2 linked regions of the Tribolium castaneum genome follow. The protein of the gene in region 2 purifies or fractionates together with the protein of the main gene of each other region. This does not show direct contact. Links are inferred from orthologs where the notes say so. Each region holds a gene or a part of one and is shown on either strand. Other genes may lie near its edges.

Region 1 (5,325 bases), on a different chromosome or scaffold from region 2:
CACAGCTTTACTACATTTCCGCAATTCCTCAAAACCTCAACGGCTTGCAGATTCGTATATCCTTGCAGCGACTGACCATCCACTTCCACGATGCGATCATTCACTTTAATCCTCCCGCTTACATCCGCCGCACTCCCTTTACTCACACTCTTCACGAAAATCCCCGACAACTCCTCCTTCTCGCATACGTAGCCCGCGATGGTTATCCCCAACCCCTTCACGTCCTTCTTCAATTCCACAACGAACTTCTCCATTTCCGGCATTTTCACCGCCATATCCAGGTTCAAAAGCGGCAAGGATGGAGACGCTGGCACGCGCGATAATCCCGTATAACTCTTTGACTGCTCGAATTGATACAGATCCGTTATTTGATCCATACCTTTGTGGAAGATTGGCGGATATTTGTGCTGAATCAAATAACGATCTAACTCAACCGAATCGCTTAAAAGTCGCGTAGGCACAAGCGGAGCTGAAGATCCTAAATACTTATATTCGGGAGAACTAATATCAACCGGTCTTGCAACCACGAGACGCACGTGGGTCCCAGATTGTCGTAAAACAGTCGCCACTTGCTCAGAACCCATCTCGTGCAGATTCACATCACCAATCTGAAAACAAACACATTTTCCATTTCCCCACAACTTTTTTCAATGATGTGAAGGCTTTTGGTGCAAAAAACGTGCAAATATAGCTAAATCGTTTGTCATTGGTATAATTCGACGAAATTTCTTCAAATATCTATTCCAGGCTCAAGACAGAGCTAATTGGCTAAAATCACATAAGTGGATAATAAAAAGCAAACAACAAAAACGAATATCTACGTCACATTTCCTTTTCCCCTTGACAGGATTAGCCGAAATAACGCAATTTGCTCGCAATTCGGCTAACAAATCTGTAAGATACGACGAAAATACGTTAAAAAAAGTAGAGCGTGAGCCGGCTCAAGAAAAAGTTAAAAGTATGTACGTAACTAAGCGCTTATTTCATTTTGTCCCCTTCAGAAATATCGCTGAAAATAATTTGTTTTGAATGTCGAGTTTGAGAGTTTTTTCCGGCACCGTAAACGTGAATGAAAATTATTTATCTTGTACGTTGAACTTGAAAGTTTTTTGGTAGCGAAGATATCAATGCAAACAATTTGTTTGAATGGTGTTAAACTCGAAAGTTTTTTGGAGGAAAAACAGCGATTATACGTCTCTCGCAAAAAAGTATCAGGTGTTCGTATCGTCAATGGCCATTCATTTGTGCGTTCAGCACGTGCGCTCCCAGTTTCTACAAAAATAACACAAATCTGCGAGGAAAAATTGTCTGAGCGCAAATAGCGATTTATTTGGATTTTCAGCTTACTGTAAAAATATTAAAAAAAAATCCATCACGTACAGTTTCTGCATAATAATTCAATGAAGCAGTCTAAGGGCCATTTTTTCTTATGGATTAATAGTTTTTGAAAAAATACAAACAAAAGCAAAATTTAAAAATATATAATTTGCCAATTATTGAAAATTTGGAATTTTCTTGACGTCAATCGATTTTCAAAATCATTTTACACAAGTTCACATTAAAATAAATCTACTTTTTCGAATAATTTAAAAAGTGAGTGTGTGAATATTTCAACATGTTTAGACATTCATCAGGGAATAAAGCTTTCTAAATAATCTATTTAGAAGATTATCATAGCAAATAATAATAATTTATTTACGAGCTAGAAATGGGTTGAGAAAATAACCGAGTTAAGTAAAAATTTCTGGCCCAAGATTGAGCTAAATCACTCAGAAATGGCTGAATCATGTAACTAGGCACAGAACAAAAAAATCAAAATAAATATGTAGACGTATAAATTTATTTATGTCGTTTTGGTCCCTTTTCAAATTTCCTTATTCCTTTTATTTATCCATAATTCATGTTATATATTTTTTCTTTTAAAAACTTGGCAGCTTGTTTCTCTCATGGGCTAAGTTTCTGGTTCAAAAACGAGCTAAAACGCTTGAAATAATCGAAAATAGCGTAAAAAATATGTATGTAACAATCTGACAAGCTTGGGAAAATGATCTTTACAATACTTTTATCTCAAGTAATTTTTTTTAAATATAAAATGAATACTTACTTGTATGTAGGTTTATTATTTGTCTGAAGTTTTTCTTTATTTTTTTCTTTTTATGGGTTAGGTACAATTTTACATCAAATCGGAGCCTTTTTATAGTATATTTTCTTTATATTATAAGAAAAAAACGTTACTACACATATTAGAAAACTATTGCCAAAATAAGGCGTTCTAAAGCAATTTAATAATTTTAAAGCGATTGTAAATAACAGAGAATATCAGTGCAAAGCGTAGTTTTCGTCTCAAATGAAGCCATTTGACTAAATCCCAACCGATTTGGCTCCTTTTTAAGCGAGAAATCGTATTTCAGTGAAACATGCACAAAAGACGTTGTTTTTGGCGAAAATGGTGCGATTTGAACCAATTCCAAACTAGTTCAAGCAAAGAATGACTGTAAATCAATGTGTCAACGGAACCAGCCCAAAAATTGCAAAAAATTTCAACCAAAACTGTATTAGATCTCTTCGCAACAGCCGAAATATAAAAAGATACTATAATTAATTAAAATCAGTGTAATTGATCGTACGTGGGCTTTTTTAAAGTTCACTGAAAAAAGTTTACATAAAAAACGTCCTTGCTATAAGAAGCTGTCCAAACGTTTAAATTTAATTGCACAGCAATTCCCGCTTGTTGTAAAAAAATGTTTTTAACGGAATTTCTTTCTTACTCAAAATAACAAGAAAAGTTAAACTCGCGATTGGTGGTTCAGTGAGTGTAAAAAACAGCCGATGTGTTTGTTGGCCCCACCTGCAGAATGTGGTCCCCGCTCTGGAGCCGTCCGTCCCTGTCGGCCACTCCCCCTGGCAGTATGGTCTTGACGACAACCCCCATATTCCTCATCCCCACGATGCCGAAGCCTAGCCCCGTGCCATCATTGATGAGATCAATGCTCTCGACCTGCGACCATTCGCTGCTGAGCAGGCTGTCGGAGCCCGTTTTGGAGGCGTCGCTCCCTATCGAGGGGGACCTGTGGATGACGTCGTCGTCGCCGGCCCCGAAAGCCTGGTTGTTCTGCAGGAGGCGCAGCGTCTCCTGGTTGCAAATGTTACCGTTTAGCGTTTTGCTGTTAAGGAGTATCATCTTATTGTCAGTGGTGTTGAAGGGATGCACGTGGGGCGAGCCGGGCGAGATGGGGGCCGAGGGCACGCGCTGCTCGTCGAAGTCGCGAGCCGGCTGGTAGTCGTCGGCATAGTCAGGGTCGTACAGCTCCCCGGAAGGGGGCACGTTCAGCACCAACTCGCCAGATGCTGTGATGTCGAAATCTACGGGCAAAATAGAGGGATGCTCGCCCAGTTGCTGGTTCAGTTCGCTTAGGGAGTCTTGCACGGTGACTACGCTCCGAAAGACGGGGTTTTCCAAAACGGAGATTAATAAACATAGGTCCTGATATGTGTTTACTTGAAGTTTCGGATCGCTCAACTCGTCCACTGTCTGTTTTATGTCTTCTAGTAGTTGTAAAGCACTCGAAATATCGGCATTCAAATGCATTATTTCTTGTTTTAAGTAAAATTAGTAAAAGGAAAATAAAATCTAAGTACACGAACACACCCTCAACTTTGCACCCTTTACTTGAAAAACAAAACGAAACGTCAGCTGTCACTTTCCAGCAGTACCAACACCGACAAAACCACTGGACTGGCGAAGTACAAGGTCAAGCAATAAAAGATGTTTTTTTTACTCCTAATTTATTTTATTTACTTAGTATACACAATTATTTTACAGAATATTACATGAACTTAAAGAACGAAAAATGCAACTCTAGTATACTTCGAAAATCAATTTTCCACCGAAAGTAACAAAAATAAGGACATGTATAGATAGAACAGACAGTTTGCGGTCACATTTCATGATGGTCAGAAAAAGAACGATGATTTACTAATGTGAAGAAAATACATTTATCACAAGGCACAACGTGTGTGAAAAAATACATTGTTACACTGATATGGTTAGAAATAAATCTGTAATAGTCGAATTGAGCGTAAAATTAAAGTATCACAAGTGGTTACAAATACTGTTTTTGTAGCAAATCATCTAATATGCTTATGCACGAAACAATGTTCTTGCGTAGTGATAAATATTTTCTCCTTATGGCGTTCAAATAAATGCATGAGTTCGATCAAATGCTAAGACAACATACAAAACAGCAAAGATAGCACATAAATAATTTTGAAGAAAGCTTGTGTATACAGAAAGAGAGGAACATACATACATTTTTACGAACATTAACCCTAAAAACGTTTGTGTTGAACTGCATTTAGGTAACAGTAGCACTTAACTAACTACCCAAAAAATCTACGGTTGTAATCATAACCGCGCTGATCATTCATCCAATCCAACTCTGACACAAAAATATATTAATCTGTTATCAGCCTTTTACATATTTATGACTACAACCGATAGTCAGTACTTTATATTTGAGTATAAAAGTGCTTTAAAAAAGTAATACAAAATACTTATTAATTAAATTCAGTACAAAGTTATCATTTAATTGTAAAATTAGTATGTAGCGTTACTTTATTATTTTCTGCGAGTAATTTAAACTTTTACACCCATTATAAGAGCGAGAGACAGACGAAAACGGAAACATTATTTACAAAGGAAATAAATACAGCCAGTTGAATTGTGCACAATTTTAAAACACTAACACCACTAAATGAATGCAAACGTACAAAACGCCAACTAATCGCTTAGCCAAGACTCTGCGCTTCTGATAATAGGTATAGAATTCACTCTCTAGGTACAGAAGGTTAAAAAATCATAAGAACTGAAGTTTGATTTTCAGATAAGCAAGATTTGGTTTTATTTTACAGAGGTTGAAGAAAGTAAGTTGAGCGCAGGGGCTTTTAATCGCGGCACTCAAACACTTGACTAGTATTCCATTTGAAATAAAACTTCAAAGCAATAAAACTACGAGTGCCCAAAATGCAAAAGTACGTCAAAAACCCCTGCCCTGAGATAAATGGGTGCATTCTGGTTGTGACTGGCAGCACAGCCGATGACTAGGGCACACACTTGGATCATGGGTTCACACCTAATCGCAGCTGATATACACATCAGTACGTATGGGTTGGAATGGACGGGCAGGCTGCATAGCCTGAGCCTGTACCTTCTTTCATGCGTCAGTCTCACCTCCTTTTAATCGAAGCCGAGCGAAATCTTCGAAAATAATGTCGTCGTCGTGATCTTGCAAATTATTTTCGTCCCTAAATCAAGCAAAGTAACGA
Region 2 (4,808 bases):
CCTCATTATGATAAATAAAAATGGCAAAAAAGTCGTTTTCATGTTTCGCGAAAAAAATGGTCCCCCATGACCTCGTCCGATAGGTCACTTCTAAAGTATCATAAGACACGATTTTGGTCGAATTGGGCCAAGTCACTAGCCGGTATTTAAGTGGTGGTGTTTTACCATCAAAAGTCGCATTAGCGACACATTCAGATCCGTCTTCGAGATTTTTGCAAACTGATTCTTTGGGACACCTTTCAATTTCACAAAACTCCAAATCCGAGCAATCTTTCCCCTTAAAACCCCGCGTACAGATACATCTGTAATCATTCCACGTGTTTTCGCACACACCGTTGTGTAAACACGGATTTATTCGGCAGGAGTTATCAGATCGGACGCCTTCAAGGACCGAAGTTTCGTCAAATCGAACTTCACCGAACGATTTCGGGATGTCTAAGTCTTTCACGTTCAGAGGGAAGAATTCGACGATCATGACCGACGATCCGTTGCTTATTTGAACGTCTTGGATGATTCCCTTGAAGTGGACGTTGCTTAAAGGAGTTGCTATTACGGCTGAAGAAGTTGGGGAAATTGTATCGATTTTGACTAAGTTGTCGTTGGCTTGGCGCACCGGTCGGGTTTGTGGGGGTCCCCCGAGAAAGAGGACTTGAGCATCGAGGGTACCCGTTGCTGAAATTGTCTTGCGGAAATATTCAGTTCCATTTAGTTTTACTTGCACTAAAGTGACGTTTCTGATGACCTACGAAAAAAAGGACACTAAAATCGTGCACTTATCACAGGTGTATTAAGCGCAAATTTTTCCGCAAAAAAAAACTTCTAATTGCGTAAAAACTAAACTTTTAACACACTTCAATTTGATGTTGAATTTATACTGCAGAGCAGCGAAACGTGAAAAACAAATTTGGGAAAAATAATTTCAAAATTATTCCAATCGCTTTCACGTAAAAAATAAAATCCTTCTGTTTTTAAAAGAAGAATTATGAATTTAATCTATATAATGTTGGTAGTGGAAAATTTGGTAGATTTTGAGTAAATGAATCTTTAACTTTATTTGATCAACTAAGTATATAACATCTTACAACAGCTCTGAGAAAACAACACTCTGGTTAAAGATAATTTGAACCTGTGATTAGATCTTCTCATGTAGTTATTTTTATATTTTTATTTTTATATTAAAGTTTATTTTTGAGACTTTATTGTTCAAATTTTATGTGCCTATAAGTCATACTCGGGTAGATTGTATACATAAAAAATTCAAATAAGCTAACAATTTAAACTAATAAATGGCATTTTTGTGGAAAAATCCATGCAAATCCTAAATACTTGAAGCATTATGATTCAAAATTCACCACTAGACAAAATTTCTTTGATATCCTCAGTTAAGTAGGTTTCGAAGACTAATTCTAATAAAACATTAAGATTTCATTTCAGAGCTCTCATTTTAAAAATAGTAAAAGTTTGGTTAAAAATTATTAAATGGAAGCGTATTTTCATTCAAATTGTTCTTAGCCAAAAAAGTAGGATGTATGTATTTTTAGATCTAAGTAAAACTTGGAATCCCCTGTATATCTACTTAAATAAGAAAATTCTGAAAAAAGCAAGTTTTTTTGGTTCAACTTATTTTTTGTTTTTAGCACTAACTTTTATGTTTCAATAATTTCCACGAAATATTATTGCTATTCAAAAATCTTGCATAACTAATTTTCTCAGTTTTTCCTTTGAATGAACACAGCAGTTAATAGTTTTAAATTTTTCCAACCAGATTATTAATTCAAATTTTTGATAAAATGACATTTCTTGTTTTTTCCCTGTAGTCTTCAAATACATTCATTGAAAAAAAAAATTCCAGTGTTAAAATACATGATAAAATTATTTAATAATATGATGGACAAAACTGAACCACGGTATCAATAAGAAAGAGACGACAGGGCCAACATTTTTTATAACTACAATAAATTAACCTTTAATTTGAGTTGAGTATCATTTAATTAATTTTTATTGGGATAGCAGACCAGGTGCAGTTTATTTTGTTGATTTATTTACTACTACAAACGTTTCGCCACTTTTTGGGACTTCTTCAAGGCAATAAATAATTAGAAAAAACCCAAAAAAAGTTGGTGGTAATAAAAAAACAACAAAACAAACTGCACCTTGTCTGCTATCCCATTAATTATTTAAATCATACTCAAATTAAACTAACAGCAGACGATGAACTGTGAATAAAATTAATTCACCTGCTCTGAGTTAATTTCGTCTAGATTTTGAAAGTGTTATTTTGAGTAAATGACTGACAAATTCAATAAAAAAATAAGTAAAATTATAAAAATTCAAAATTTTAATAGAATAAAAAAAATCCACTAAGCGAAATCTCTAAAATCCGACGAGATGATTGATGAAACAACTTGGTATACTACATAAATTAAGTGTAAAATAATAAAACTAAATCAGACATAAATGTTACTATTATCAGTCAACTCCACAACAAGTAACTGTGTAATTATTTATGAATATGTTAAAAAGAAGTCAAGAAGAAAATTTAAATAGACGCTTTTTTGCACTCAATTTATTTTAATTTCTTTTATTAATTTCATTTTTCTTAAAACGTTTATTTTTGTTATTAACTATTCGTACATATTGTTTGTTATAAATTTTTTGACTGTTTTTTTTCTCAAAAATTCTTTTTTTCTGAAAGGAATTTAATCCGCCTCTGGCGTTTATTCGAAAAACTTAAAAAAAAGATGAAGTCTATTTTTTTATTCTAGTAGAATAATTTTCATTAGGACATTACTATTTATAAACTTATCAAAATAACCAAAACTAGCAAAAATATGAAAACAAGGGTTTTAAATTGAGAATACTGAAATTGAATTTTGAAAGCACAAAAATAAAAAACCAACCTCAATTAAATGGTCGTATCCATTATCCAACTTCACACCGCCTACAGTATAAGCCTCTGGAGTACCATTAAACTGTATCCTGACCAACAATTCGCCCCCTTCCAACTGTGCTGCAATGTACGTCTCCTCCGACGGATTCATAGTCCTTGGCAAGGACCCTAGATAAAAAATCTGTCCTTTTGGTTGCCTCGTCCTTATAAACATGCTAATATCGACTATGGTACGAACAGCCCGTCTTGCAGCACTGTCCACGTAAACCGTAACCAAAGAATCGGTTATATTTTCATAACCAAAAGTCGCAGCTGTATAATCTAAAACCAAATCGTAAAATTTGCGTCAGACTCGAAATAAATTCCGTACTGTATTGGCAAGTGTCCCCCAAGTAGGGCCGTCCACAAGTACACTTAAAATTGACCCAGAGATCGGTACAGTGCCCCCCTGAATGACACGGGTTCGGATTACACTGCGGCTGTCTCTTACAACTTGGCTCCACTTCTTGAAAAGTGAACGCGGGATTTGTGTGTGGGCTTGAGCTTGGTGGCAAAATCCATTCGCCGTTGATGAGCACGTCTTCGGTACAACCAACCAAGTAGGTTTTACCATGGGTGAGTTTTTTCAAATTGCTTGGGATCCCCCCAATGTATGTCAAGGGGAAACTGGTATAGGTGGTGCCATTTGATATTTCGTTAAAACTGATCGGATAAATTGTTTGTTCGTCGTTCGCTGATAAAACAAGATGAGTTGAGTTAATCGCAACGAAAACGCGTTGCCATTGACTGTCGTTTAAGTTCGATCCGATGAAAACACCCTCCCACTTATTCAACAGGCTTGAGTGCAAGTTTAGGCGCCCTCGGGATAATTCAAGAATGTAATAAGTCAAGCCTTTGCCCAAAGCCAATAATCCATCGCCCAGTGTTGTCTTGAAACGGAACTGGATGTCATAGCCTTCCTCCCGTGACGTGTTTACAATAATTAGGGACTTCCCCGATAGCGACATCGTGGTGATTTTTTCGCAAACTTGTCCGTAATAGCCATGAGGGCACGAACAATTGAACCTGTGGATGTTTTCGTCGATTAAATACGGTTTGCACGTCCCGGAGTTCAAACACGGGTTGGTATCACAGCCTGTTAATCCAACCGAACAGTTTTTCCCGCCGTAATTCGCGTCACATTCGCAATAATACGACGCTCTCCTATCCCAACATTTCCCGTAAACGCACGGTTTGAACCGTTCGCATTCATTGATGTCTATATCGCACCTCTCGCCCTCGAAACCCTCATCACACGTGCAGGCAAACCCCCCGATTTTATCCACACAAGTGCCTTCAAAGCACGGATTGCTTTCGCATTCGTTGATGTCGATTTCGCAATTTTCGCCTGTGACGCCGTCAACGCACAGGCATTCGTAACCGGCGGCTTTGTCGTAGCTAAATTCCGCCGAGAAAATTTCGGGGAGGGTTTGGTCAGAGAGTTGGTAGAGGGTTTGGTTCGAGTGTTCGTAACATGTGCCGTTGTGTTTGCACGGATTGCTGTCGCATTCGTTGATGTCGATTTCGCAGTTTTTGCCAGAATAACCGGCATAGCAGTGGCAATCGTAGTCCTTGACTTTGTCCTCGCAGGAAGCGCCGTTTTCGCAAGGGTCGCCTATGCAATCGTTGATGTTTGTCTCGCAGTGGGTGCCGGTGTAGCCGGTGTCGGTGCAGTTGCAGGTGTAGCTGTTGAGGCCGTCGATGCATTCGGCGCCGTTCAGACATGGAGATGACTATAATTAAAAAAATGTGAGGTTGTACAGATATGGTCCACAAAATTTATAAGAAAACACGAAAAATGTGTATTAAACAAAATTGTAAGCTTCGTACAAAAACGATCTCTGTATTTAATGTTTATGTCAAATTACTTCTCTTGCTC

What was found. The genes of interacting proteins can lie anywhere in the genome.
Region 1: the proteins of crb (region 2) and patj homolog purify together in Drosophila melanogaster (affinity purification with western blotting; 7 studies listed by BioGRID, with this or other methods). This does not show direct contact. The link is inferred for Tribolium castaneum from reciprocal best matches to the Drosophila melanogaster genes crb and Patj.

The regions. Positions count from the first base shown.
Region 1 is NC_087403.1:1,763,479-1,768,803, forward strand, and holds the start of patj homolog, read right to left. Parts: upstream 3,724-5,325; 5' UTR 3,590-3,723; coding exon 2,849-3,589; intron 609-2,848; coding exon 1-608. Other genes in the region: beta-arrestin-1, read right to left, coding at 5,214-5,304. UniProt on the Drosophila melanogaster protein: Involved in cell polarity establishment. Probably participates in the assembly, positioning and maintenance of adherens junctions via its interaction with the SAC complex.
Region 2 is NC_087397.1:9,939,789-9,944,596, reverse strand, and holds part of crb (protein crumbs), read right to left. Parts: intron 4,663-4,808; coding exon 3,261-4,662; intron 3,212-3,260; coding exon 2,901-3,211; intron 743-2,900; coding exon 1-742.